Danio rerio: one gene and its partners. The protein of the gene in region 4 purifies or fractionates together with the protein of the main gene of each other region. This does not show direct contact. Links are inferred from orthologs where the notes say so. Each region holds a gene or a part of one and is shown on either strand. Other genes may lie near its edges.

The links.
Region 1: the proteins of rbm8a (region 4) and ddx39b purify together in Homo sapiens (co-immunoprecipitation; 4 studies listed by BioGRID and IntAct, with this or other methods). This does not show direct contact. The link is inferred for Danio rerio from reciprocal best matches to the Homo sapiens genes RBM8A and DDX39B.
Region 2: the proteins of rbm8a (region 4) and ncbp3 purify together in Homo sapiens (co-immunoprecipitation; 3 studies listed by BioGRID and IntAct, with this or other methods). This does not show direct contact. The link is inferred for Danio rerio from reciprocal best matches to the Homo sapiens genes RBM8A and NCBP3.
Region 3: the proteins of rbm8a (region 4) and upf2 purify together in Homo sapiens (co-immunoprecipitation; 6 studies listed by BioGRID and IntAct, with this or other methods). This does not show direct contact. The link is inferred for Danio rerio from reciprocal best matches to the Homo sapiens genes RBM8A and UPF2.
Region 5: the proteins of rbm8a (region 4) and upf3a purify together in Homo sapiens (co-immunoprecipitation; 4 studies listed by BioGRID and IntAct, with this or other methods). This does not show direct contact. The link is inferred for Danio rerio from reciprocal best matches to the Homo sapiens genes RBM8A and UPF3A.

Annotation. Positions count from the first base shown.
Region 1 is NC_133194.1:29,769,583-29,774,832, reverse strand, and holds the end of ddx39b (DEAD (Asp-Glu-Ala-Asp) box polypeptide 39B), read right to left. Parts: intron 3,950-5,250; coding exon 3,840-3,949; intron 3,747-3,839; coding exon 3,602-3,746; intron 3,493-3,601; coding exon 3,345-3,492; intron 867-3,344; coding exon 850-866; 3' UTR 314-849; downstream 1-313. UniProt on the Homo sapiens protein: Involved in nuclear export of spliced and unspliced mRNA. Component of the TREX complex which is thought to couple mRNA transcription, processing and nuclear export, and specifically associates with spliced mRNA and not with unspliced pre-mRNA.
Region 2 is NC_133196.1:33,668,934-33,674,183, forward strand, and holds part of ncbp3 (nuclear cap-binding protein subunit 3), read right to left. Parts: intron 4,497-5,250; coding exon 4,371-4,496; intron 4,230-4,370; coding exon 4,098-4,229; intron 3,522-4,097; coding exon 3,373-3,521; exon of another isoform or gene 1,921-3,372; intron 1,873-1,920; exon of another isoform or gene 1,261-1,872; coding exon 1,155-1,260; intron 1,033-1,154; coding exon 933-1,032; intron 1-932. UniProt on the Homo sapiens protein: Associates with NCBP1/CBP80 to form an alternative cap-binding complex (CBC) which plays a key role in mRNA export. NCBP3 serves as adapter protein linking the capped RNAs (m7GpppG-capped RNA) to NCBP1/CBP80.
Region 3 is NC_133179.1:1,379,601-1,384,850, forward strand, and holds part of upf2 (regulator of nonsense transcripts 2), read right to left. Parts: intron 4,528-5,250; coding exon 4,162-4,527; intron 3,956-4,161; coding exon 3,176-3,955; intron 837-3,175; coding exon 676-836; intron 447-675; coding exon 270-446; intron 87-269; coding exon 1-86. UniProt on the Homo sapiens protein: Involved in nonsense-mediated decay (NMD) of mRNAs containing premature stop codons by associating with the nuclear exon junction complex (EJC).
Region 4 is NC_133191.1:50,393,595-50,398,017, reverse strand, and holds part of rbm8a (RNA-binding protein 8A), read right to left. Parts: intron 2,946-4,423; coding exon 2,809-2,945; intron 1-2,808.
Region 5 is NC_133184.1:36,596,124-36,601,373, reverse strand, and holds part of upf3a (regulator of nonsense transcripts 3A), read left to right. Parts: intron 1-427; coding exon 428-483; intron 484-560; coding exon 561-719; intron 720-832; coding exon 833-966; intron 967-2,879; coding exon 2,880-3,168; intron 3,169-3,479; coding exon 3,480-3,557; exon of another isoform or gene 3,558-4,781; intron 4,782-5,250. UniProt on the Homo sapiens protein: Involved in nonsense-mediated decay (NMD) of mRNAs containing premature stop codons by associating with the nuclear exon junction complex (EJC) and serving as link between the EJC core and NMD machinery.

The sequences.
Region 1 (5,250 bases), on a different chromosome or scaffold from region 4:
CATTTTACACACCCCAATAGTTGCGTTGCCAGCAGCAATGACTGCAAATTTTACGCTGTAGTGGAAGCATGCTGCAAGATTAAATCTTATTGCAAAACGCAGCTTGGATCAGTTTTCTCTAGTTGTAAACATTATTGAACATTTGTATAGTGTTGCTATTGACGGTCTTACATTATTTCAAAGTTCCTATTGCAGTATGAATGCAACCAGTAGGATGTTGTGGGTCCTGCCTGGTGTCTAGTTCCTATAAGCACAAAGCAGGTGGCTCAGTAAATGAACACTGTATGAGGAAAAAATGCTGATGAAAACTATATGTAAATCAAACAATACTTTATTTGGTTTAACAAGCATTGAGTAGTTTAAACAAAGTGGCCTGCCAGTTGACAACTGAATGAACAAACATTGTTTTAAATACCTACTCCACTGGTAACAAGCATTCAGCATACACTGCTAATATATTTAGTAACTTTTGATCAATTCTACTTCACTGCAGTCAACTGTGTAGCCCATTATAATCCAAAAATGAGAACTCTTCCTCTCACAACAGAAATGATAAAGTATATCTCTTCATTAAAAACAAAGTAAAAACAAACATCCCAAACACAAAATAATTCATATCGAAAGGAAAAAAAGTCATAAAAAACAAAATATTGCATTTATTAACTTTCAATAAGCAAAAACGAAACCAAGAAGGCGTCAGGAAACCACCACAATACTGGATAACGCAGCGATGTGAGCCATAGAAGTATTCACTAACACTGGAACAGTGAAATACAAACTCAATTGCTATCAAATGCTACAATCCCATGCATCCTTCTGAAGAAACTCCTGCATTTAGTGTTGTCATCTTTATCGTGTTTGTTCAACTAGGAGAAAACAAGGAGAAAAACAAATAAGTGAATGCACAAATTCAGATTAAATAATAACTGTTTTGACAGAAAACATTTTATAGAACAATGAAAATATGAAAAGAACCAAAACAACAATGGTGGACTGCAGGACTGTGTTTGTGTGTGTCAAGATTAGTGTTGTCACGATACTGGAATTTCGGTACTGAAAATGTAAAAACGTTTAAGCGCCTTTATGTAAACAGAAATGACTTTGATTGGCTGTGAAGGTTATTAGTTCACCACTGTCTGAGTGCAAAGACAGATACTAGGACACTGGAGCATTTTAAAGCCGCAAAAATCAGTCGATACATCAGTGGATCGCCTGTATGTCAGCTCATACAGACCAGCTAATCTTTGCAGCTTTAAAGGATCATGAAACACCAAAACACATTTTTTAAGGTGTATACAGTCATACATATGTGTGTCCCATGCTGCTAAAAACACTATTAAGACACACATATTTCACAAAAATAATTGAAAATTGGTTGTTTTTGCGTTATTTTGAACAAATTTGTTCTTCTGGTTTAAAAAGAAATTTTTAAGCAGTCATGGCTATGAGATCCATGTGTAAATTCCAGCGTGGAGACTGGATGTCTGTACCGGCTGGTACAACGTGACGTCTTTGAGCTTTCATCATTAATTCATGAGAAAGACCTGGTTCAAACCAATCAGCACACTCTATTTTGTATGAGGTGCAACTTTATTATTATGCATGATGTAGCTTTGAAGACTCTTTTTACCTGTTAAAGTGTTTAGACGCAGAGAGACGCCACGTTGCCAACCGTGAAAAAAACAAGTGGAAGAAGAAGAATTGTTCGAAGACATGGATTGTCAGTGTTGCGTTTATAAATGTGCCGCAACGAAGGTTTTGTTTTCAATTAACCGCAAGAGAGCACAGCTCGTGTGTGGATTACAGTGGTCTGCTAACATGCAACAAAAATATGTTTGCAAGGAACATTTGTCCCGGAGAGCTTTTCGCATCTGGAAAGTGAAATCTGGATTTGCCACTCCACTTCTTTTAAAAAAAGACGCGGCTCCAGTTTGTGTTGATTCTCCTGTCTCTGCAGATTTGGTAAGTGTGTGATCAGTGTTCTTTGTTTATGTTTATTTAGAGGCAAAGTCAGTTTGTATCGTCAGCAGTAGTCAAAATGTTTTAGTTACTAATTTAACAGTATGTTAATATCACTACAATATTATGGACTGAAAGATTAAAACTAAAGATCAAAATGTCATATTGACAAATCTGCAGTGTTTAAAAATGCGCTCAACAGGGCTTATAAATTAGCAGAAAATAGACGTTTTTTAAGAGCCCATATTATGGGTTTTTGAAAATTGCCTTCCATGTAGTGTGTAACAGCTCTAAGTGAAGTGAAATATTCAATTAAGGCTTAAATCTGTAAGTGTACAGTGTTTAAAACTGTTAATTAAGCTATAATAGAGTCGACTCATAGTGGTTTAAATGAGTTGTCTTGATAACGAGTCATTAGGTGTTTCGCGATGACGCATCTACAAAACACAAATAGTTGCACGCGCAAACCCGGGAGATTTTAAACCTGCGGTCCCGCCCTCTAAAGCCACACACACACACACACACGCGCACGCACGCCGGTCAATTGAAGTCACTCTGCGCAGATGGATATTATTGACAGTCTCTACCCAAAGATGAAACCTCAGCATTATCCCAGCCTTGTGCAGTTTGAGTGCTTCTGGAAACTACATGCTTATAAAGAAGACTTCATCGGCCGTTTGTTAAAGGAAGGATCAGTAAAGAGTACTGCTGGACTATGTCAGAACAAGGATCGGTTTCTTCCTCCATTTCACAAGTGTAAGTACCTGCGATTAAAGTTGTTGCCTTGTTTACTCTAGCCTGCAAATGTATTTATTTGTGATTTTATATTGTTGATTAGCTGCTGGGCATTTGACTCTGTCTCTCGCTGAAGGCAGTCAGTATTGATTAATCGCAGCAGGCTGTCATCGGTCCAATCAGCCCAGATTAGCTTCGCGCTAAGGAGGGGTTTGGGAACAAATGAATCACTGAACGATTCATATGGGAGTCACTGGGATAATTAGATAAAAATAAATGCAGATTATAAGTCCATTAAAGTGTTTTTTGACCTTGCATGCATACTAGATTGTTGTTGGAGACCCTTACAACCAAAATATGACCATATTTCATGTATAATAGGGGCTCTTTAAATTTCAGTAAAGACTGATACCAAAATTGCAGTATCATGACAACACTAGTCAAGATACTGACCAAGTACTGCAGACCTCAATAATACAGATCATCTGTAACCCAAACACTTTTCAAAAATCAAATGAAATGCTTTCGTTTTTAGTCCATTGTTATGTAGTTCGTATGTGGAGAACTGAATTATTTATCGATTTGATTTCCTATATAGAAATGTTCTCATCTTGTTCTGTACATTTTAAAGTTTGAATGTTAACACTCACTGTATGATGAGATGTCAATCTCCTCTGGAAGTTCACTGATGTTCACCTCAAACCTGTCCTGAACGTCATTCAAAGTGCGGGCATCATTTTCATCGGACACAAAGGTGATGGCCAGACCTTTTGTTCCGAATCTGCCAGCCCGTGCAACCTGAAGAACGAGAAAAGTTGGAGTAGTTCAGGTGAATCCACTACCAGCCAGTTTAATAACGCTTTTGGACAGTGTCACAGTAAAACAGTATCACGTGATCAGCACCAACCCTGTGCAGGTACGTGTCAGAGTCTTCAGGCATGTCGTAGTTAAAGGCAATGTTGACTCTTTCGATGTCCATACCTCGGCCAAACAGATTAGTGGCTACCAGGATCCTTCTCTGGAAATCTTTAAATTGCTGATATCGAGCTAGTCTTGGGGGGAAAAAAATAAGAATAAAATATGATACAAGCTCCCTAAAATCTATAAATATTAACTCTAAAATGAATTGAAATAGTTTTTTCTACCTTTCGTCTTGGGGCATTGCTCTATGAATGGCAATGGCAGGGAAATTTTGCTCCACCAGCAACTGAGCGAGAGCAATACAACGCTGCACCGACTTCACAAAGATCACCACCTGCAATACTAAGCAGCTGTAACACGGTGCCAGCCAATTCTCATCACTAAAATAATTCTTAATCCAAACAAGATCCAAAAATCAGCTATAGCTCCTGGCTGGCTCGCCAAAGATTTTTTGGGTCATTGACAACAACCAGCAGTCCAAACAACCATCGAAACATTATTATTTTTTGATACTGAATACAACTGAAAAACATTGATCAAATAAATGCTTGGTAAGTCTGAATTACTTAAAAAACATTTAAAAGAACTCTTACAGAAATCAATCTACATGTCACATGTTTGGTACTTTAGCCTAAGGTTGTATAAATTCAATCAAATCATATTTAAGCAAAACATTATTTCAAGACTAAAGATTGTAAATTCCAGATTGCTGTGTTTTTAAACCCTACTGCATTTTAGACCATACCACATGGGTTGCATGTAAGCTGCATAAATAAAATCTGTATTCAAATAGATCAAACTGTATTTTGCAGTAAAGCCTGTGAATGACCACAGTGCATTTCCCTTTCAGATATCCAAATGTATCTTAGAAAGGGCAAACTGTTGCAAATTATCCTAGTCTCTTTCTTGAGTCACTCTTTGGTCCCATTGAAACATGCTGTTAAGGCTCTGTATTAGACACCTGGTATTAAGAATCGTTTTTGTTGGTCCAATTACAAGAGGACAACACTAAATACAGGTGTAAAGGGGGTCTGAAGGTTTTGAGCTTGTCCACTTTCAACCACATTAAGAGGTGGCCAAAAAAGCATTTGATTGCATTTGTATTGTGTGAGCGCTCATGTAGTTGAACAGCCTCTAAACACTGCCCTCTGTCCGCTCAATGGCCGGACACGTCAGCTTTGTGTGAAACGGAAAGCAACTGCTCTCCTCGTTTTTCTCAATTATCTTATTATCTGATGATGTCTTAAGGCTGATATGTACTTCTGTGCCAAGCGCACGTGTATACTCCAGCCACCTCTCAAAAATTTTCCAACAATGCGTAGCGCAAACTTTGTGATTGGTTGGCTTGGTAGCTGTGCTGAGTGTGGGCTGGTTCAAGAGCTGCGCAAACCCGTTGAAGTGAGTGTTTACAAGTGTCGAGTCCTGTGAAGGAGCTTCAAATGGAAACTTTTGTTTTGTGTTTACCCTATACATAATGTTGCTGCACATGCGCCGGTTACCACTTCTGAACGAGCGAGTTTTAGCTACTTGTACATTAAGGTAGAATTAAAAAAAATATGGAACACTAGCAAAGAAATACAACACAGAAGCACATAAAAACCTATTGCCAGCTAGCGCTTTGGAAGTGTTATTGCA
Region 2 (5,250 bases), on a different chromosome or scaffold from region 4:
ATGCCGTGTTGAATACTTAATTCTCCCGCTGTATATATTGTGATCATGATTTTCCAAAATATTACAGCACCATGTTTAATATATAAATGTTTATTATTAACATGTATTGAGCCTCCCCATACAGTTTGATAGTGCACTTGAACCCTGTTGCAAATTTGTGTAACGTCACAATTAACAAGTAAACAGGGCGCGTATTACAGAAACGTTCTTATCTAAAGATGCAATACACTAAAGTTTTCATTAACTCATATTACAGAAGCAAATCTTGACTCTTGATTCTAATCCTGTCTAACAATGTCATATCTTATCATTATCATTACTTCAGAAATCTTAAATTGTGTCTGACAATCCCATCTTAGGTCTCTTACCATGCAACTGACCCCGCAAGAGCTGCTAATGAGTTAGCCTAAACAAAAATCTCCAAAAAATATGTAACCAAGTGCAAATACAGATGCATGGATACTGAAGTTTCAAAGCCATGTAGATCAGTCAATCCATCATCGGATCATTCTTAGGTCAGCTAAAACACAGAACAGCTGATTGACACTCCAGTATCTGTGTTTGCACTTGGTGAACAGCAGTGAAGGCTGGTGAAGCGATCACCTTAACAGCCAATCACAGTCATTCCTGTTCAGCACCAGAACACAATGGCCAACCAGCATTGCATAAGAACAGCACTTAAATGTTAGCGGGAAATGGTTGTTTTAAAAATTTCAGAACCGATTGGTCCTGAACTCGATACTTTTGACAACCTTATTTTGAAGCACTCATCTATGCATGTCGTACACAACAAAATGGCATTGCTTACTAATACTGGCAGGAAAAAAAAATACTATCGTGAACATTTAGTCATCTTTTGGAATCTTGTCCTAGCGGTGTTTGTTAGCAGGTGCCACATGTTATTCCACCAAAAGTATCAAAGTTTTTCTTACCAAGAGTTACTCAAGATGCCTTTCATGCCACCATAGTTTGGATTCCCATATTTCATGTAGTATCGACTTCTTCTGGCTGCACCCAACTCCTTTTTGTCATCTGATGGAAAATGAGTGTCAACATGCAAATATCGTTTTGTGTACAGTCTGTTCTATATCAAGCAATGAAGAGTTCTTGACACAATTCTAATTGTAGGCGACACACTCAAGTCTGTTTCTCACCATGGGTGGCAAAGCGCAAGAAGAGCTTGTTGCCTTTGAAGGGTTTGACTGTGGGTCGTGGTTCATTTTGAAGGAGAGAATCTCGCTCTGCTTGAGACAGGCTAGTCTAGAATGAAAATAAATAAATAAATCAATATAAAGTATGCAAGGTAAGGGAACCTATTTTCACATTCAGGAAAGGTAACACATATGGGATGTCAAAATGAAGTGTTTCTTCGGTGAACCGCGATGCAGATAGGGACAATTCGATATTGGTTCAGTAATAGATCATAACCGGTTATTACGTACTGACGTCATTTATCTCCTATGCGGGATGTCGCAGTAAAATACTTTGGCGAAGGAGGCAAGTGCGAGTAAATAAAACAGTCCTACTACTTAAAAGGTAGATAATTATGCACATTTCAACTGCTTATGAGTTTGCTGGACAGTCTTATATTGACACTGAAGAAGGCAGAGCACACGAGCCATGTTTTCACTGCTAGGGAGAAATGCTGTAAAAATCCATCTCTGCCTCTCTCTCACTTTGGACATTTGACCCGCTGGCGTGTTTGTGAGGTAACTTTTCCTCTCCTCTTGGCTGTTAAAGCGACACTTGTGGATCCAGACACGAGCGTGCCTTGACTTTTTTCCACTGTGTCTGTTATGGATTACCTGTGATAACTGCGTATTATGCACATATAGACTGTAATCGCTGCTGTTGCTCCCGTGTCACTCATCGGTATATATATATATATATATATATATATATATATATATATATATATATATATATATATATATATTCATTCATTCATTTTTTTGTCGGCTTAGTCCCTCTATTAAACTGGAGTCGCCACAACAGACCGACAACTAATCCAGCAAGTTTTTACGCAGCCGATGCCATTCCAGCCGCAACCCATCCCTGGGAAACATCCACACACTCATACGCTACAGACAATTTAGCCTACCCAATTCACCTGTACCTCATGTCTTTGGACTGTGGGGCAAACCGGAGCCCCCGGAGGAAACCCACGCGAACGCAGGGAGAACACGCAAACTCACACCTCTAGTAACATGTTCAATCCATTTATTGAACTCACTAAAGAGCCTTATATATACAATTTCAGTTACTATGCGCATGAAAGTTTTAAGCCTAAGCCAAAACTTCAAGATGCGCTTGGCCGAAAATGGTTTAGGCAATAATCTTTTATTATTTTATTCATTAATATTAAAGTTAATTTACAAGACTGTAAATTTAACTCATTAACTTAAAATATACAGATTACAACAGCAATAAAAACAGTCCACACATCATGCGGGCCATTGTTTTCATAATGCAGTGCTTTCAGCGTCAAATGACTATGACTTGAACGGAGAGTGAAACAGTATATGTTGCAGTGCGAGGCAACTAGTGATGCGCAGATGGAGGTTATATCCACGGACGTTGTGGATAATCTGTGGGTCAAGTAATAAAAAAATACATTATGATTAATTGCAGGTGGATGAGTTTAATAATTAATGATTTTTGCTTTGTATTTTTACACATTCTGTAAAATATAAATGTGTTATCAGACCCTGATTTGCAGGCTAATTTAAAATGGTGGAGGTCCTTTTGTTAAAGTAGAAATGGAGGCAAAACCAATCTGAGAGAAACAAAAGGAAGGAAAGAAAAATGCAATGGGGGAGTATTTAAGCAAAGTGGTTAATGAGGATGAATCATATATAATATGCAACGGCTGTGACGTGCTTTATGTATATGAAAGCCACAAGAAGGTACCTCAAATATAAAACGTGTGTGCTAAATCAAAAGGTCGGTCAACTCAAAGTCAGACAAGCACTGTAAGTTCTTATATTCGTCAGAACAGCAATAAATAGCACTGGAAGTTAGGTCTAGTCTCGTGGATGCATGTGTGTTAATAACGAACAATCCACGCTGATATATCAGATAAAATGATATGTGCAGGTGGCTGGCAGGTGGATGATTATTATACGAAGGAAAATGAATGAATGAATGAATGAACTATTTTGTCATATACACACCCTCATGTTACTTCAAACTAACCTACTGTTTTGCATGGACCGTGGAGGTCAAAAGTAGATGTTTTAAAGAATGTTCACACTGCTCCTTTCCATATAACAAATACAGGTTTTTGCACTATAATGGTTCATGACACATTTTTAATCTTAGGGAAAAAAATAAATGGAAACAATGCTCTAAATGATAAAACTAAAACTTTACCTCTCTGGTTTCTTGTGGTTTCTTTTCAGTCTCATCTTCAATGTCACGAGCCTTCTCATCTTCCTCATCATCATCATCGTCATCATCTACCTCACCTTCCTCTTCCTCATCATCGTCATCATCATCATCAGACCCACGGCTTCGTCGAGCTGCTCAGAAAAGACATGACAGTTTTGTTTCAACTTTAAATGTCTCATTTGAGATGTGCTTTTTTTATTGGATGTTTGATGTAATCTCAACCGAAACACAAAGAGAGGGTGGGACATTATAAAGCTCCTCCCCCTTTTTTAAAAACAGACAACAGTGTTTTGTTTTCATCACCACTCTGCTCCAGCGAGAGTGATTGAGCTCAAGTGCAACAAATGAAAAGAAAATGAAAATCAGCTTAAAGGGGGCGGAGTTTGTCAAATACTAAAGAGCATTTAATTGGATATGATTTGACAAGAAGCTGTAGTATGCGGTGACCTGAATAAAACCATTGCTCCATTTAGGTGGAAGAGACAAACTACAAGCTTTACATGTTTATATCAGTTTTACATCTTTTAAACACAAATTTTGTTACTTTTTTGGAACACACTAGCTTATAGATATCTTAAAAACCAACAATACTGACACTAACATCTACAAAACTGTATTTTAATTTTATGGGACCTTTAAAACACAATTTTTGTTTCGGATTTGGAGTGTTTATTTCAAGGTGACACAATGAAGCAAATAATAAGAACCTTTCTGCGTCTGGACAGGAAGTTCAGAGGGTTTCGAGCTGTCTGTGTTTGTGACCTCTTCTTTATCTGGCATCCGACTCAAGTTAATGAGAGCTCTGGTGGAAGTGATGTCGTCGAGCCACACCACGTTGCCTGGGAACAGTGAGATTTGACTATGAACACCACAATCGAGCTTTAAACAAAACTAGGCCTATTTCCCATTCAGATTTGTAGCCATTCATCAAGTATAATTTTGTCACTTTGTGGTAATAATATCTGTGAGGGTGTACTTACAGGAAGCGTCATCTATCCACTCGATGTGTGCAGGCGGATACTCTTTAAAGTAGCCAAAAACATCCTGAGTGCTCATGTCATCGACTCCACTCATGTGTAGAGCTTCCAGACGCACTTTCGGGATCACTAAAGAGAGAGAAAACACAGTCTGTAAGAGCGGGAGAGATGCGAAATCAAAATATGAACTAGGGTGATGTCATTTTTAAACAAAATCTTCCAAAAACGAGGTCCATTTATAAGATTTTATAGGTGGCACGGTGGCTCAGTGGTTAGCACTGTCCCCTAACAGCAAGAAGGTCGCTGGTTTGAGTCCCAGCTGGGCCAGTTGACATTTCTGTGTGGAGTTTGCATGTTCTCCCCGTGTTCACGTGGGTTTCCTCCGGGTGTTCTGGTTTCCCCCACAGTCCAAATACATGTGGTACAGGGGAACTAAATCAACTAAATTGTCTGTAGTGTATGAGTGTAAATGTAAGCGTGTATGGGTGTTTCCCAGTACTGGCTTGCGGCTGGAAGGGCATCCACTGTGTAAAACATATGCCGGTGTAGTTGGCAGTTCATTCTCCAGTGGTAACCTCTAAATATGAGACTAAGCCAAAGGGAAATAAATGAATGATCATGTTGTTTTAAACTAACCTACTGTCTTGCATTAACCGTGGAATTCAAAAGTAGATGTTTTAAAGAATGATCACACTGCTCCTTTCCATTTTACAGAAATACAGAGTTTTGAACTATATTCTATAAGTGTGCAACAGATCACAGTAGATCCATGTATGGATCGCAACCCATTGTTCAGCATGCAGATTAGCTACAGATTAATAACTTTTTATTTAATTTAAATTTAAATATTTAACAACTGCACAGAAAATAACGGTATGTTCTG
Region 3 (5,250 bases), on a different chromosome or scaffold from region 4:
TGCATCCAGATCCATCGGTTCATCAGCGATGTCCAGCGCCTCCAGCTCCATCTCCAGCTCCTCAGTGCTGTTTCCCTCTCGGCTTTCTGTAACACACAAGCACACACAATTATTAGTTCATCAAAAACATATTAGTCCTCTCCATTTAGCCATACTCGAGTGGTTCAGATATTCTGGAGAATGTTTGAACAAAGCAGCATTTAGCTAGTTTCCATCCACCTAATTCTGTGCACATTTTCAAATATTGCATAAAAAATGCCTGATGCTACCTTTGCTGCTCTGGCTGCTCTTCTCGTTGTCTTTGAACAGGATTGCAGGAACAAACGCTTTCAGATCCACCATGTTCTCATAGAAGTTTCTTGCATCTTCATCCTCCCAGATTCCTCCTTCTAGATCATACTCTCCTGGCTTCCCCGGTGTGAAGATGTCGATGCCTGGACCGTGCTCTGCCACACAAAACACACACGCTGCATGTTGTAAAATACCTTACGATAATACTTTTGCATTATTTGGATTTGCCAAATAGAATAAGATCATATTAATTTGATTAGTGTTATGCAATGGTAAGAACTTGATTTGAACTACTTAAAAGTGGACGTTTTAAAAAAAAAGCACACTTATGACTGATTTTGTGGTCTCATATGTCAACACAAACTCTCTATGGTGCGGTCGCACCTTCCTGTACGGTTTTGTCCTGGGGCAGTTCCGGCATGTTCTCGTCCAGCAGGTCGGCCAGAGTCTGAGTGTTGGCCAGCAGCTTCTGGTACTGTGTGGCGAACTCCTCGTACTGCTTGTGTCTGTCCTCGCTCAGCTCGCCTTTAGAGTGCAGGATACGTCTGGACACACACAAAACACATGTACAATTTTATAAAAGTTGTTTTTATACCTGTGTGTGCTGTTGGGTCGTTCTTTATCCACTCTGGGGTAATTTTTAAGGCTTAATTTGGCCACAATTATCTCTGTGTTTCAGCAAGTTTAATGATTTTGCTGATAAATTGTATTTTGACACATATTTTGGGAAAATGCTTTGGAATTATTCAAAAACTCAACAGTAGACTGGCCAAATTTACTCCCCTTTGGTTATGTTGGGGGCTGTTTTTACCCCATTGACTTCCATTATAATAAAATTTTTCGATTGCAAAGCCATGACAGTATAATCATGCATTCTTGATTGATTGTTGCTGGTTTTCCCTGTTGGAAAGACCTACAATTTGTCATTTTTATGTATTTGTCATTTTAAGTCTCAAACATTATATAACAGGGCTGCATGATATTGGAAAAAATGACATTGTGATATTTTATTTTTCTACAATAGATATTGCAATATTTAGTATAATTTCACCATATAAAATAAATAGACCTATTTGGTAGGAATTTATAATTGTAGATACATTGGGATGATTTTATAAGAGAAAGCATCTGCAAAAAATACAATAAACCAATTGCAAACATTGATAAATACAGTGAAGCAATGATACTGTACTAATGAAATGCACAGTGCTTTATGATTTTCTGAAAGTCTAGCAATCTTCAGATAGACACATTTTAAAATGTAGAATAATACTATAGTTTTAATATTTACATAAATATAATAATCTTTCATAAAGTTAGAGACATCCCTTTTTATGCCTGGATAAACTTTATAGTTAAACATTGCAATGAAATTAAATACAGCTCCTGGTCAATTATAATTAGAGATGTAACTGATTTCACTATTAACCGCAATTTAATTTGGCATGGTTAATTCATCATAAAGGCTTCTCAACAGCATGTTTATGCATGGAACAAAACTGTGACAAAACCGCGAGTCACGAGACAAGAACTGCTCTATACTTTGTAGGGATTTTACACATCCATACAAAATCCATACACATGTCAGTGGGCGCCGTCTTTCGGATGAGACGTTAAATCGAGGTCCTGACTCTCTGTGGTCATTAATAATCCCATGGCACTTCTCGGGAAAGAGCAGGGATGTAACCCCAGTGTCCTGGCCAAAGTCCTTCAATCGGCTCTTACGATCATGCCCTCCCAACCATCCCCTTCCACCAAACTGGCTCAATCACTGTCTCTCCACTCCACCAATAGCTGGTGTGTGGTGAGCGCACTGGCGCCGTTGTCCTGTGGCTGCCGTCGCATCATCCAAGTGGATGCTGGTGATGGTGTGGAGAGACCCCCCTCATGATTGTGAAGCGATTTGGGTGTATGGCCATACACAATTAATGCGCTATATAAATACACATTACATTACACAATACATAATATAGTTGATCAAAAGTGCCTTTCAGACTGAGGTTGAGGAGCCTTTGTCTACATTTGTTTACTTTAAAAGGGAAATTCTTATCTAATATGATGCTTAAATTTACATTAGACAAATACTATTTTTTATCTCTTAATTTACATATGTATTTGTTATTCTGTCATTTATTTTCAGTGTAAAATTATTACTATTGTTTAAATGCCAAAAACTTTCACTTATTTTTAGTTCCAGAGAATTATTATTTTTTTATTTATTATTTTTATTTTGTGCAGTATAAATTGGTTACTGAGCAGCAATAAATAACACTTTCAAATAGGAGTTTTCATGTGATTTACTAAATTAGTAGTGTTTTGAAATTAATGCATAATAATGATGATAATCGTGAAACCGTGATTACTCCTCAGACTATAATTGTACAACCACAATCTATAATTGTTGCATCTGTTGAAATAATAATATTATGCAGCCCTATTATATAACATTAATAATGTTTTATTCCGATTGGCTACAGAACAAACCACTGTTGTCCAATGACTTGCCTAATTAACCTAACATGCCATTAAATGCACTTTATGCTGAATACTAGACTCTGGTACAATAACTAGTTAAATATTATGTGCTGTTATTATGACAAAGAATAAATAAACTATTTATAAAATATTATAAGCTTAAAAATGTTTTACTTTTTAAACTATATTTATATTATATATCTCTTCTTTTTTTAATGCAGATTAAAATAAACATTGCCTCTCCATTAAACAGCATTCAGGAAATGTTTTTAAAAGAACATATTTTTAGACAAACATCGGCATATTAAACATTTTATAAATAAAAAAGTAATTAAATATGATATAAATATTTAATATCTTATTTGTAATGCAGATATGAAGAATGTGAACTGATCAGACAACAACAGACCTGTTCTGCCTCTCGATGTTCTGCAGCTCCCGGTGGTCTTTCTTCAGGTGTTTGGTGAGCGAGGTGAAATACTCGCGCAGCAGGTTCTGGAAGGGCTGCTGTTTCTCCGCATTGATGATCTGGCTGGGAGGGAAGGACAGGCTGTACTTCTCGGCTGCGTTTTTAACTTTGCGCGGCACCAATCCGGCGATGTCATCTCCACAGTGCTTACAGAAGCTGATAATGACGGAGACGTGAGTGTGAGTCTCTCGATCGGCAGCGATTATATTTTTCAGCTGCTCGTAGATCAGCGACAGGCCTTCTTTATCCGTGAACAGCCCTACAATGGTGAGCTCTGCGATGAAGCGCAGGTCGGTCCGCAGCTTGCTCACATTAGGCGTCTTCTCCTCTTTACGTGCCTCAAAGTGTCTCTTCCAGGCGGCGAGAAGAAGTGGTGCGAACTCTGCGTATCTCTGGTGGAAAAGCGAGCAGAGATGAACTGCACAGCCTACATCGGAGATCTTCAGCTTGGCCTCCACCATAGAGCTCACGGCCTCCCCGATGTATTTGCTGAGGTTGAGTGAGTCGAAGTCCTGCGATAAGGAGCCGCGCTGTTGTTCTGTGAGCGTGCGGAGCTTTTTGACAAAAGCAGTGTTTTTCTTGAGGCTGGAGTCCAGGCGGCTGAAGAAAGCCTCTTCTGGACGGGTCTCCTGAGCGTGCTGGTTCTTCACTCGCAGGTCTTTTCGGCCATGGTGTCGCTCCCAGGCCTCCTGCTGGAGCTGATCCGCTTCCTCCTTTTCTCTGAACACACACACACACACACACACCATTTGAAACAGGGCTGCATGTTATTTGAAAATCTGATATTGCAATATTTGATTGTTCTGCCATATATGCACAAAACACACATCAGAAACATGCATGGCCTGCAATACAGAGTTTGTAGAGATCAATTTGCGGCCATCATTGTTTTATGAAGGTAAAGATAAACACTGCAGTCCTCTCACCTGATCTGTGCGGCCTCCTCCTCCCTCTGCCGTTTGGCTTCTTCCTCCAGCAGTTTCTTCTCCTGTTCCTCCAGCTGTTTCTTCTCCTCCTCCTCCTTCTTCCTCTGCTCCTCCTCAGCTCTCTGCTTCTCCTCTTCTTTCTTCTTCCTCTCTTTCTCCTCCTTCTTCCTCTTCTCCTCCTCAGCTCGTCTCTTCTTGTCCTCCGCAGTCTTTCCTCCGTCCTTCTTGCCGCTCATCTTGTTCTCCTCTTTGTTTTTGTCTCTGGAAGCGCCGCTCGGTCGCTCTGCGTCTCTGTCCTTGCTGAACGAGCCCGTCTCTCGCTCCTCCATGTTGACGGACTTCTTGCGCTCAGCAGGCATACTGCCACTGCACAACACAAACAATAGTTCACTATGACATGGAGAATATACATTATTTTAAATATGCTTAACATCATGCCATGCTGCTTAAAAAACATTTAGCACTTTATTTATTTATTTTTTAAATATTTACTAATTGAGTTTTACCATTTACAATTTAAAGCAGTACATTTCGCCTCTCCTAGCACAACCAGGGCATTAAAAAAAAAAACATGAAAATAAAAAATATATTGTTCCAGACTTTCTGAGTTAACAGTGAGAAAACAGAGTGCACCTTATTTGTTCAGTCCATATATTATCATTTAACATGAGAGGCTTAACAACATCTAAACAAAGAAATATCCAAGAGGTGCATCTAAATACAAAAAACAAACAAACAAACAAAAAAAAAAACAGGTCATATCATCTTGAATCACAAAACCTTTCAGATATATTAAAGTTACCAGTAAGGGAACACATTAATATGTTATATTTTTAGTCAATATGTTATTTGAAATGAAGAGTTTGGTAACATTCAATAAGTACAAAATAAAAAACAACGTAGAACACTTTAAACAACTGAAATGAGTTCACATTAAATAAAATTCCGTTAATTATATTGTGCACAACATACTGTTTTGCATTGCAAGGTACATTTTACACATTTTTAAAAATCACATGTTGAAATGCAGAGTTTAATGCTGTCTTGTGCATCCATTTTTACTAAACATTTTGCACTTTAAAATAAAGT
Region 4 (4,423 bases):
ATTTAAACTCTCCAATTTATACAGTATGCCCAAGATATTATCATAATGCAAATTAACCAGTTCAAGAGTATATTTTTAATGGAACATGATTAGATTTCTTAGATATGAAAGTTTTGAATAATCAATACTTAATATGACATGTAAACAATGCAGACAGAATGAGCTTTAAAATTTATTATAAAAGCAAAATTCTAAAATGGACATCTCTGGACAAACAAAGCCGTTGCAACTAATGATCCGATGAGAAATTTCAGTAGGCTCCATAAGAAACAGCAATATAATCAAATGAAACACACAGTCAAGTCAAACTGTGTGTTCTGTATAAAACACCACCATCTGCTGGACAACATCGAGAACATGCACGATTTCTGATTCATCAATTCCTCTACATAAGAAAAATTATTTTTCCAGTAAGGGAAATCTACAACCACTTAGAGTTACTGCAAAAGTTTCCACCGGTCATATGAAAGAACTTTTTTCCCTCCTAAAGCAAATATATATTTTTTATACACAAACACATATACAAGTCTTTTTACTAAGGGTGTCACGATCCTCCAAATCCTCGATTTGATTACATTTTCGATTCTAAAGGCACGATTCGATTTTCTAATTTTTATGAATAATTAATTAATTAATGACCAATTAATTATTTGTAGCCTACCGTTTAAACTACCTGACCTGCATAGTCTTTGTTTTACCGATAAACAAATCATACAGTAAATGAATAAAGGCAAGATACACACATAATTACCACCTGTCAATCACTTTTTCTGCGGGACTCGTGAATAGGCAGTGATTGTGTCGTTATAATGGCATCTGTAAAAAAAGACGCACATCCAACAGGAACTAGCCAACAGTATCTGAGGTGTTCGCTAAAATGACTAAGTACAAGTGAGTGAAAGATTGAAGCAGTCCTCTGACTGCCTGGACCTGCTGTCTCGAGCGCATGGCTGTGTATGCGTCTGTGTCTGTGTGGTCACCTGATGTGCATTGTCAGAGGTAGAGAGGAAGGAGGGCTGCTCAGAAATGCTACACGCCACTGTGGATGTCAAATCGTTGTCATTCTAAAATGCCATTTAAAAACAAAGACAGTGTAAACAGGGCCTGAGTGTGTACTTTTCGCAAGCGGATTTGCAACGGGGGCGGGCGGAGGATCGCGATGCCGGTGTTGTCTATCGGACGAAACGTACGCAATACGTACATAGCAGAGCTTGCAAAACTGTGTTTTTTTTTGACAACACGAACGTTGTCAACATAACTCACTGGAAATCCTAAATGCTTACACACCGGCGACTTCATTGAAAGAGGAGAGGGTTTAAGTTCTGTCGACGGGTCTGCTGCTTCTGCAGTTTAACAAGCACTTCAACAAGCCTGTTTTTTCCCGCTTGGCAAGCCAAGCTGATGTGACATGGGGGCGTGGCAGCCTCAACGATTCTATTTTTTGATTCGATAATCGAAATTGAGCATAAATTTCGATCGATTTCGATTAAAAATCGAAATCGTGACACCCCTACTTTTTACCCAGACTATCATTACATACACTGACTTTATTATTTTATTTATTTATTCACTTTTATTATTAACTTTATTAGGTAGACCTGTCTAACTGCTCATTAACACATATTTCTAATTAGCCAATCACACGGCAGCAACTCTCTGCATTTAGACATGTTCAAAACGATCTGCTGGAGTTCAAACCGAGCATCAGAATGAGGAAGAAAGGTGATTTAAGTGACTTTGAACATGGTTGTTGGTGTCAGACGGGCTGGTCTGAATTTTTCAGAAACTGCTGATCTACTGGAATTTTCACGCACAACCATCTCTAGGCTTTACAGAGAATGGTCTGAAAAAGATCAAATATCCAATGAGAGGCTGTTCTGTGGGCACAAATGCCTTGTTGGTGCCAGAGGAGAATGGCCATACTGGTTCCAGCTAACAGTAACTCAAATACTGTTCAATTCTCTAACACACTTTACAACCGAGGTCTGCAGAAGAGCATCTCTGAACACACAACATGTCCAACCTTGAGGTAGATGGGCTACAGCAGCAGAAGACCACACTAGGTGCCACTACTGTCAGCTAAGAACAGGAAACTGAGGCTACAATTCACAAAGACACACCAAAATTGGACGATAAAAGATTGGAAAAACGTTGCCTGGTCAGACAAGTCTCGATTTCTGCTGTGACATTCGGATAGGTAGGTCAGAATTTGGCGTCAACAACATGAAAGCATGGATCCATCCTGCATTATATCAACGAATAAGGCTGGTGGTGGTGTAATGGCGTACAGGAGATTTTCTTGGCATACTTTGGGCCCATTAGTACCAATTGAGCATCGTGTCAACGCCACAGGCTATTGTTGCTGACCATGTCCATCTTTTTATAACCACAGTATACTCATCTTCTGGGAGATACTTCTAGCAGGATAACACTTTATGTCATAAAGCGTGAATCATCTCAGACTGGTTTCTTGAACATGACAATGAGTTCATTGTACTTAAATGGCTTCCCCAGTCACCAGATCCTCAATCCAATAGAGCAACTTTGGGATGTGGTAGAACGGGAGATTTGCATCGTGTATGTGCAGCCGACATATCTGCAGCAACTGTGTGAGGCTGTCATGTAAATATGGAGCAAAATCTAAGGAATATTTATATATAAAGTACCTTGTTGAATCTATGATATGAAGGATTAAGGCAGTTCAGAAGGCAAAATGTGGTCCAACCCAGTACTAGTAAGGTGTACCTAATAAAGTGGACTGTGAGTGTATATGCTACTGAACCAAAAAAGTAAAAAAGAAAATCTTACCTTAAGGTAACCGGTTCTCCTGTCCAAATTTAAATGCAAGTTCTTGATTTCTCCAAACTCTGCAAACTTGTCGTGGACATCCTCCTCTGTTGCCTCCTCGTGAACACCGGTCACAAACAGAATCCATCCTTCAACAGCTGAAATCACATCAAAACAAGTTACAATTGTTCAAATGCTTTACAATATCTTTTCCAGTAAACTAACAAATTTTCTTCTATCACTAAGGCAAGACAGAATCTGACAGAATATTTTTTTTAAGCTAAGGGCTGAAAACAAAAATAATTGTTTTTGTACAAAAGCGCAACAATGCAGATCAAATCCACAGTGGGTCTCTCTTACAGCACATCAACTGAAAGTTATAAAGACCTTATCTAAAATGTGCACAACATATTGATGGAACCATTACTAATGTTTTGGCAGTCTATAGTAAACTACTTACTAAAGTTATTTTTTCCCATGCCCGACTAATTAATACAGTATGAAAAATATGCAGGTCTCATCTGGTTCTGTGGCATTGTTTACATTCTGCTCTCCAACATGGCCGACTAATGACATGTTGTATGTATGCTCATATATAGTATGAGCATATGCAATACTAGATCCTTCTTGTTGAAGCCATGTCATGTTGTATACTTCCAATCAATGACAATCATACTGCAAATAAAAATGCCAACGCAGGGTTCAGAATGCTACAGTGTGAAATGTAAAGCAAGGCGTATGAGAACCCAGGATTATTTGTAAACCCAAAGTATATTCAATGTAATGTGAAGGGATAACATTCATTTATAAACAGTAGATTCAAAGACACTTTAAAGTACTATTATTTTAAAATCAAGCACATTTGTAATTTACACTGCCAGCATATGTAGCACCACAAAAGTCCTTACTGTACTAATTCACTTACACTTAATGCTTACATTAAAATAACAGTGTGATGACAAAGTTTTAATTGTGTCATTTAAAAAAAAAAAGTACTTGTTAAATTAAAAACAGCTGTTGATATGTAACTGTGTTTTCTGAAATATGGATGTTCATTTCAGTTAATTTTGCCATCCGCCGCTTGTTAACTGAATAGTAACGGTTAACTGGTCAGATTAATATTAAACTATGTAATCAAAAAAATGATGTGTCTATTTTGTGTCCGACACATTAAATATAGCATTTTAAAATACTAATTTATTTTAACATGTGAACAACAGCATACAGAACATCAGCACATCTTCAAGCACCTGCAGCATTTCCAACGGCTAGGAAAAACAGAATAAACTAAATAAAAAGAATCAAAAAATATTCCTGCCCTAGATATCTTTCACTTAAATGACAAGTTTAGAATACAAAATGAAAACACTGACTGAATCCTTTTTAAGAACCGGCAGATGTTGTTTGTCCAATCACGTTTTTTCTTCCGTTAAATAAAAATAGCAGGCTACCTAAAATAGATCGCTCCACAGAAAATATGCATCGGAACTCGACAACTGAAACTCTGCTTTTATTTGATTGGGAAAAAAAAAAAAAAACACGAAACTGACATAACATGCCTTTTCTGCTCAGAGTTGACCTTTTTCAACAGCGAGTACACAGCACACAACAGCTAAAATGTGAGGCGTGCAAGGCT
Region 5 (5,250 bases), on a different chromosome or scaffold from region 4:
TTAATAGCAATAAAAAATAAAATATAAAATAGCAACAAATTGGTGTAAACACTTCTTGCGCCTTATTGCGCCAGGTGTATGATAGGGCCCAAAATGTCGTTTTCAATATTAAAACTTTTCAGTTCTCTCAACAAGCTCAACTGCTGCTGAGCCTTTTTAAAAACATTCTCTGTGTGTTTTTCAAATGAAAACAAAGTCAATCTCCACAACTAAATATTTAAAAGAACTCATTTCCACTTACTCCCCATTAATTAACAAAGGGTCATCGAATGTTTGTATTTTGTTTGTCCCAAATATGTGATTACTAACATTGTTTACATTTTTTTTTGAATGCTATTTTATTATAGAGCTGCTCTCTTGGAAATTATCCAGGATTTAGGATTATAATCTGAGCTTGATTTTTACCTCTGTGTGACTTTATTCATAGCCAAAAGGACGACACCCTTGCTGGAATACATCAAAAACAAGAAATTAGAGAAACAGGTAAGAGCACCATATCACTGCATATAACACACTGCGGTTTTGTGCTGTATGTACATCACCATGCCTTTCCATTCTAGAGAATAAGAGAAGAAAAAAGAGAAGAGAGGCGAAGAAGAGAACTGGAAAAGAAGAGGCAGAGGGAAGAGGAGAAGAGGAAACGCAGAGAAGAGGAGAGACAAAAGCGGAAGGAGGCAGAAAAGCAGAAAAAGCTCTCTGAGAAAGAGATAAAGATCAAGGTACGAGTTTAATACCATATTACATCCCATTGCTCGACTGTGCTTATCAGTACTGTAAAACACACACAAACACACGCAGTCATAACATCAGATTTGCATGTTGACTGCTTTAGCTTTTGAAGAAGTGTGACCGAGACGATGACGTGGATTCAGACAGACTGAAAGATAAAGGAGACAGTGGAGAGACGGAGAAGAACAGATGGGAAAAGCCTGGAGGACACACTAAGTCAAAGGATTCAAAGGATAAGTAAGAGCTTCCTAAAACTTACCCCTTCTTGAAAAGATATGAGTTAAAAATAGAGTTAAAGAGTTAAAAATAGAGTTTAAAAATTAAGGATTCAGATTTGTAAATCAACCAAAAGTTGAAAGTTGGGATGAAATTTTCCATTTTCTTAATAACTTTTTAAAGGGATGGATTTACTCGACCAGAAATAAAGATAATTTAAATAATATTTGTAACAGATTTCCAACATTGTTTGAATTATTTTCTTTTGTGTTCAACTGATGACATTCTATGTGGGTGATTAATTTTGTGTGGACTGCCCCCTTATTCATACTTTCCTAATTTTATCTTGTTAATTTCAATGGAAATGTCATAACTTTACTTTCTCTATTTTCCACAAGTGGAATTTTATTTTTGGCTTCACCACACAACCACATCAGCGTTCATATTACACATATCATAGAAAAACAGGCAACACAAATACATTCAGTGTCATCACATAAATCACATTAAAAACTCAATTAACCCTATTAATACTTAAAACCCAGTGTTTAAAACTTTAGTGGCAGTGGCACAAAGGACATTTGATAAACCTTTTTCTTTACTTGAGGTTGCCTCAAATCTCTTTTTGATGGCAAGAGCTGAAATCTTATATTTAAAGAATGGGAACAATTTTCAATAATGACCGTTTAATTCTCATTAAATAAATTTAATTTAGTTGTCTTTGTGCTTTACCTACAATTGCACTGGTCATTTTTACTACTCTACACATTTTTTTGCTTTTTCTAATTTACAACAGTCCATACCATGCAGTCATGTTAAAACTCACAATACTCAATACCCCAATCTGGTGATGTATGACAGACCTGTCCAAATTCCAAAATACACGAGCAGCCAATCAGCAGTAAGCGACGTGTCTAGTAATGATAGTGGAGATGTTAAAAAGTGTCATGTTCCTGTTAAGGAATGGCATGTTTGTTTTGGTGCTTTTAAATATCAATAATGTTTGCCAAAGTTACCTTTGTGCACCATTACACTCTATGGCTTCTTACAATGGACCACAAGCTCAGATTCATATCTGCTACCATTAAATCAAAAACTGATATATGGACTGATAATTCTACCATTCTTTATTTCTTTTTTGATGATAAGTTTCTCTAAGATGAATGTCACAGTGAAGATTAAAAGCTTTTGCTACTTTCATTTCCTTGCACTTTTGAAAAATTTGGGATTTTGATGCAAAATATAGGTTTGTGAAAGAAACAAATGTCTTTACACTTGTGTGTCCATCAATGTAAAACAAATGTTTACAGAGGACAAAAATGTTAGTTACTTAAGTGTCAGTAAGATTGCACAAAGAATATAGAGGCTATTTGTAGAATTCACAAATGCTTAGATTCCTCTCAATAAAATAAACAATAGTTTCATTATAAAATTTAAATAAATTAAGCTGCTAAGTTACTTTAAGGTACACCATTGTGTATCTATTTTTATACAGTTGAAGTCAGAATTATAAGCCCCTCAGTATATTTTTTCACCAATTTCTGTTTAACAGAAAGCAGATCTTTTCAACACATTTTAAAACATAATGGTTGTAATAGCTAATTTCTAATAACTGATTTCTTTTATCTTTGCCATGATGAGAGTACATAATATTTACTAGATATTTTTCAAGATACTAGTATTCAGCTTAAAGTGCAATTTAAAGGCTTAACTAGCCTTTCAAAAAACTGTAAATCTGCTTTTTTTCTAGCCAAAATAAAACAAACTAGACTTTCTCCAGAAGAAAAAATAATATAGGAATTACTGTGAGAAATACCTTGCTCTGTTAAACATTATTAAATATTTGAAAAATAAAATAAATACACATGAGGGCTAATAATTTTGACCTCACCTGTATATCGGGGTGTTGACTTCATGAAATGTGCCCTCCACAGTAGGAGCCAAATGGAAAATGACAAGGAGCAGCGTGAGGGCCACGGCCGACGGCAGAGGGACAAAGATCACCGTGGCCGAGATGAGGAACGTAAACGACAGAGGCATCACTACGAATTTGACAAGTTCATGCGACGCAAGGAAGAGACCAAATGGGGCAAAGGCTACTGCCAGGACAGGGCCAAGAAAGACCAACACCATGGGTATTCCTACTGCCCAGAGACTGGAGACAAACTGGGCAAAGAGGACCGAGAGGACATGGGCAGCAGGAAAGAACGCATCCGCAATAAGGTAAATCAAATAAACTATTACAGAGCAGTAGAGTAGCGATTTCACAGCCACAGTCCATTTGCAGCTCTGGTTCTGGTATTATGTACAGTTATCTGTCAGTTTGTCCGGTCTGTGTAGCAGATGGATCCACTAATGCATTCAATATTTACACATCTGTACTTGATTTATTCATCATTGTGTTCTGTGGGAAATGCAATACCAATCTGCCTCACTCCAGGGGCTTTCAATGCAGGCTACACTTATTTGTTGAGGTAGTTAGCTGTAATTTGGCTGTTGGCAATATTATTGACGAAAGACAACGTGTCTCTCAGTCTGTGTTAGTGCATCAGGAGAAAAGGACTTCCCAGTCTGAGGGGCCAGACCAGATAGGAGGGGCTCTGCCAGCAAAGGTACAGCTAGTTTTTGAGCCTTTCTACCCACGGGAGGGGATATGCTATACACATGTTGTATGCCTACAGTGTCAGGCGTACTTAATGCTGTAATGGCACAGATAAGGAGCAGTTCCCAATAGATAAAAGCACATAATGACTAAAAACTATGACTCTGTTCTAAAACCTATAGTGTGTCTATAAAGACAGCATTTTAAGGCATCTCATGTAACCTTGCTTTTAATGTAGAAATGCTCCAAATGGTTACAATTCTGTATTAGCTTTATAAAAAAAGATATAGTTAAAATATAGTTTAAAATATGTATAACTTGATCAACAGAAAGTTTAAGGATTTTGAAACATTATAAAAAATTATGTTATGTTATATTAAACAAATAATCATTTTAATTTATATAAAATATCCTCATTTAGGGATAAAAAAATAAATATAATACTGGAAATAAACTTAAATAAGGTTTAAGGATTTTACAATATTAAAACAAAGAACAGTTGTGTTATCATATAAGACAACGAAACATTTAAAGTCCTAAAAAATCCTCATTTGAGGAGAAAAATAGATGTGTACTTCAGAAAATGAACTTTATTCAAACTTTATTGTTTTATGTTTAATCCGCTTACATTTGCAAAAACTGTTACAACACAAATTGATAGTGTGGAACTCTTTTTACAGTGTTTATGTATTTTAAAACATCTTAAACATGTTTAAACATGTAAAACATGTCAAAAATCTCCTTTATGATGATTTTAATTAGCGATGTTGATGTAGAGGACTTGTTGATTCAAGAATAGATGCAATCGAATCAAACCGAATACATTTTTAGTGTAATTTGTTTACCTATTTATTAGGTTAACTAAAAAGGATTAGATTGCCTAAGAATTGGACACTATCATTTAAAAAAAACCATGAACATGTAGTTTTTATTAAGTTATAATAGACAGGCTCATTCTAAAAACGTAGCCTTATAAAGATTTCTGGAGATCGCAAATTATGTTGCCAGAGCTACGTATGACTGCATTTCATTTTTAAAATGAATGCTACGAGGCGGTATGATGCCATTCCTTTTCGCGCTTACCAGCTGAACGCTTACCTCTGTATAGACAGCTTTCCTGCTGTTAACAGTTTGTCCAGTAGTTTGACACATACAACGGCAGACTTGCGACGCAGAGGAGAGTTGACTGCGACAACGAGGTTTAAGTCCGGTGAAGAGCAGTTCCAGAAAGCAGGTAAGGCAAAAATAAAATAAGCAAATAAATAACAGAGTAAGAATGTGGTGAAATATGGTAAAAATCAGTGAGCTTTTTTTTTTTAGATTGCTTTTTAAAACTTTGGTTGGGTTCAGGGAAGGGGGTTGGTGGGTCAATCAGTGCTTTATAAAACACTATTTGTTGGGTTTAGGGAAGGGGAAGGGAGAGGGTATTGGTTGGTTGGTCAGTCAGAAAATCAGTCAGTTGACAGCGGCCTCTGGTGGATTTAGGTGAGAACAGCAGGCAGGAACGGCCCTCGTGAGAGAAATCTGAAAAAGCGTACACAGCGGCCTCTAGTGGATTTACAAAAACTGCAAAAAAAAACGTAGCGCCTGGGACATATTTTTCTCTCTCCAGAAATGTATATAGGGATATGTAATCAGAATGAGCCTGGGTTTATAAAAATACAATGTAATGCATTAGATCAAAGCTATTCTTATAAAGTACA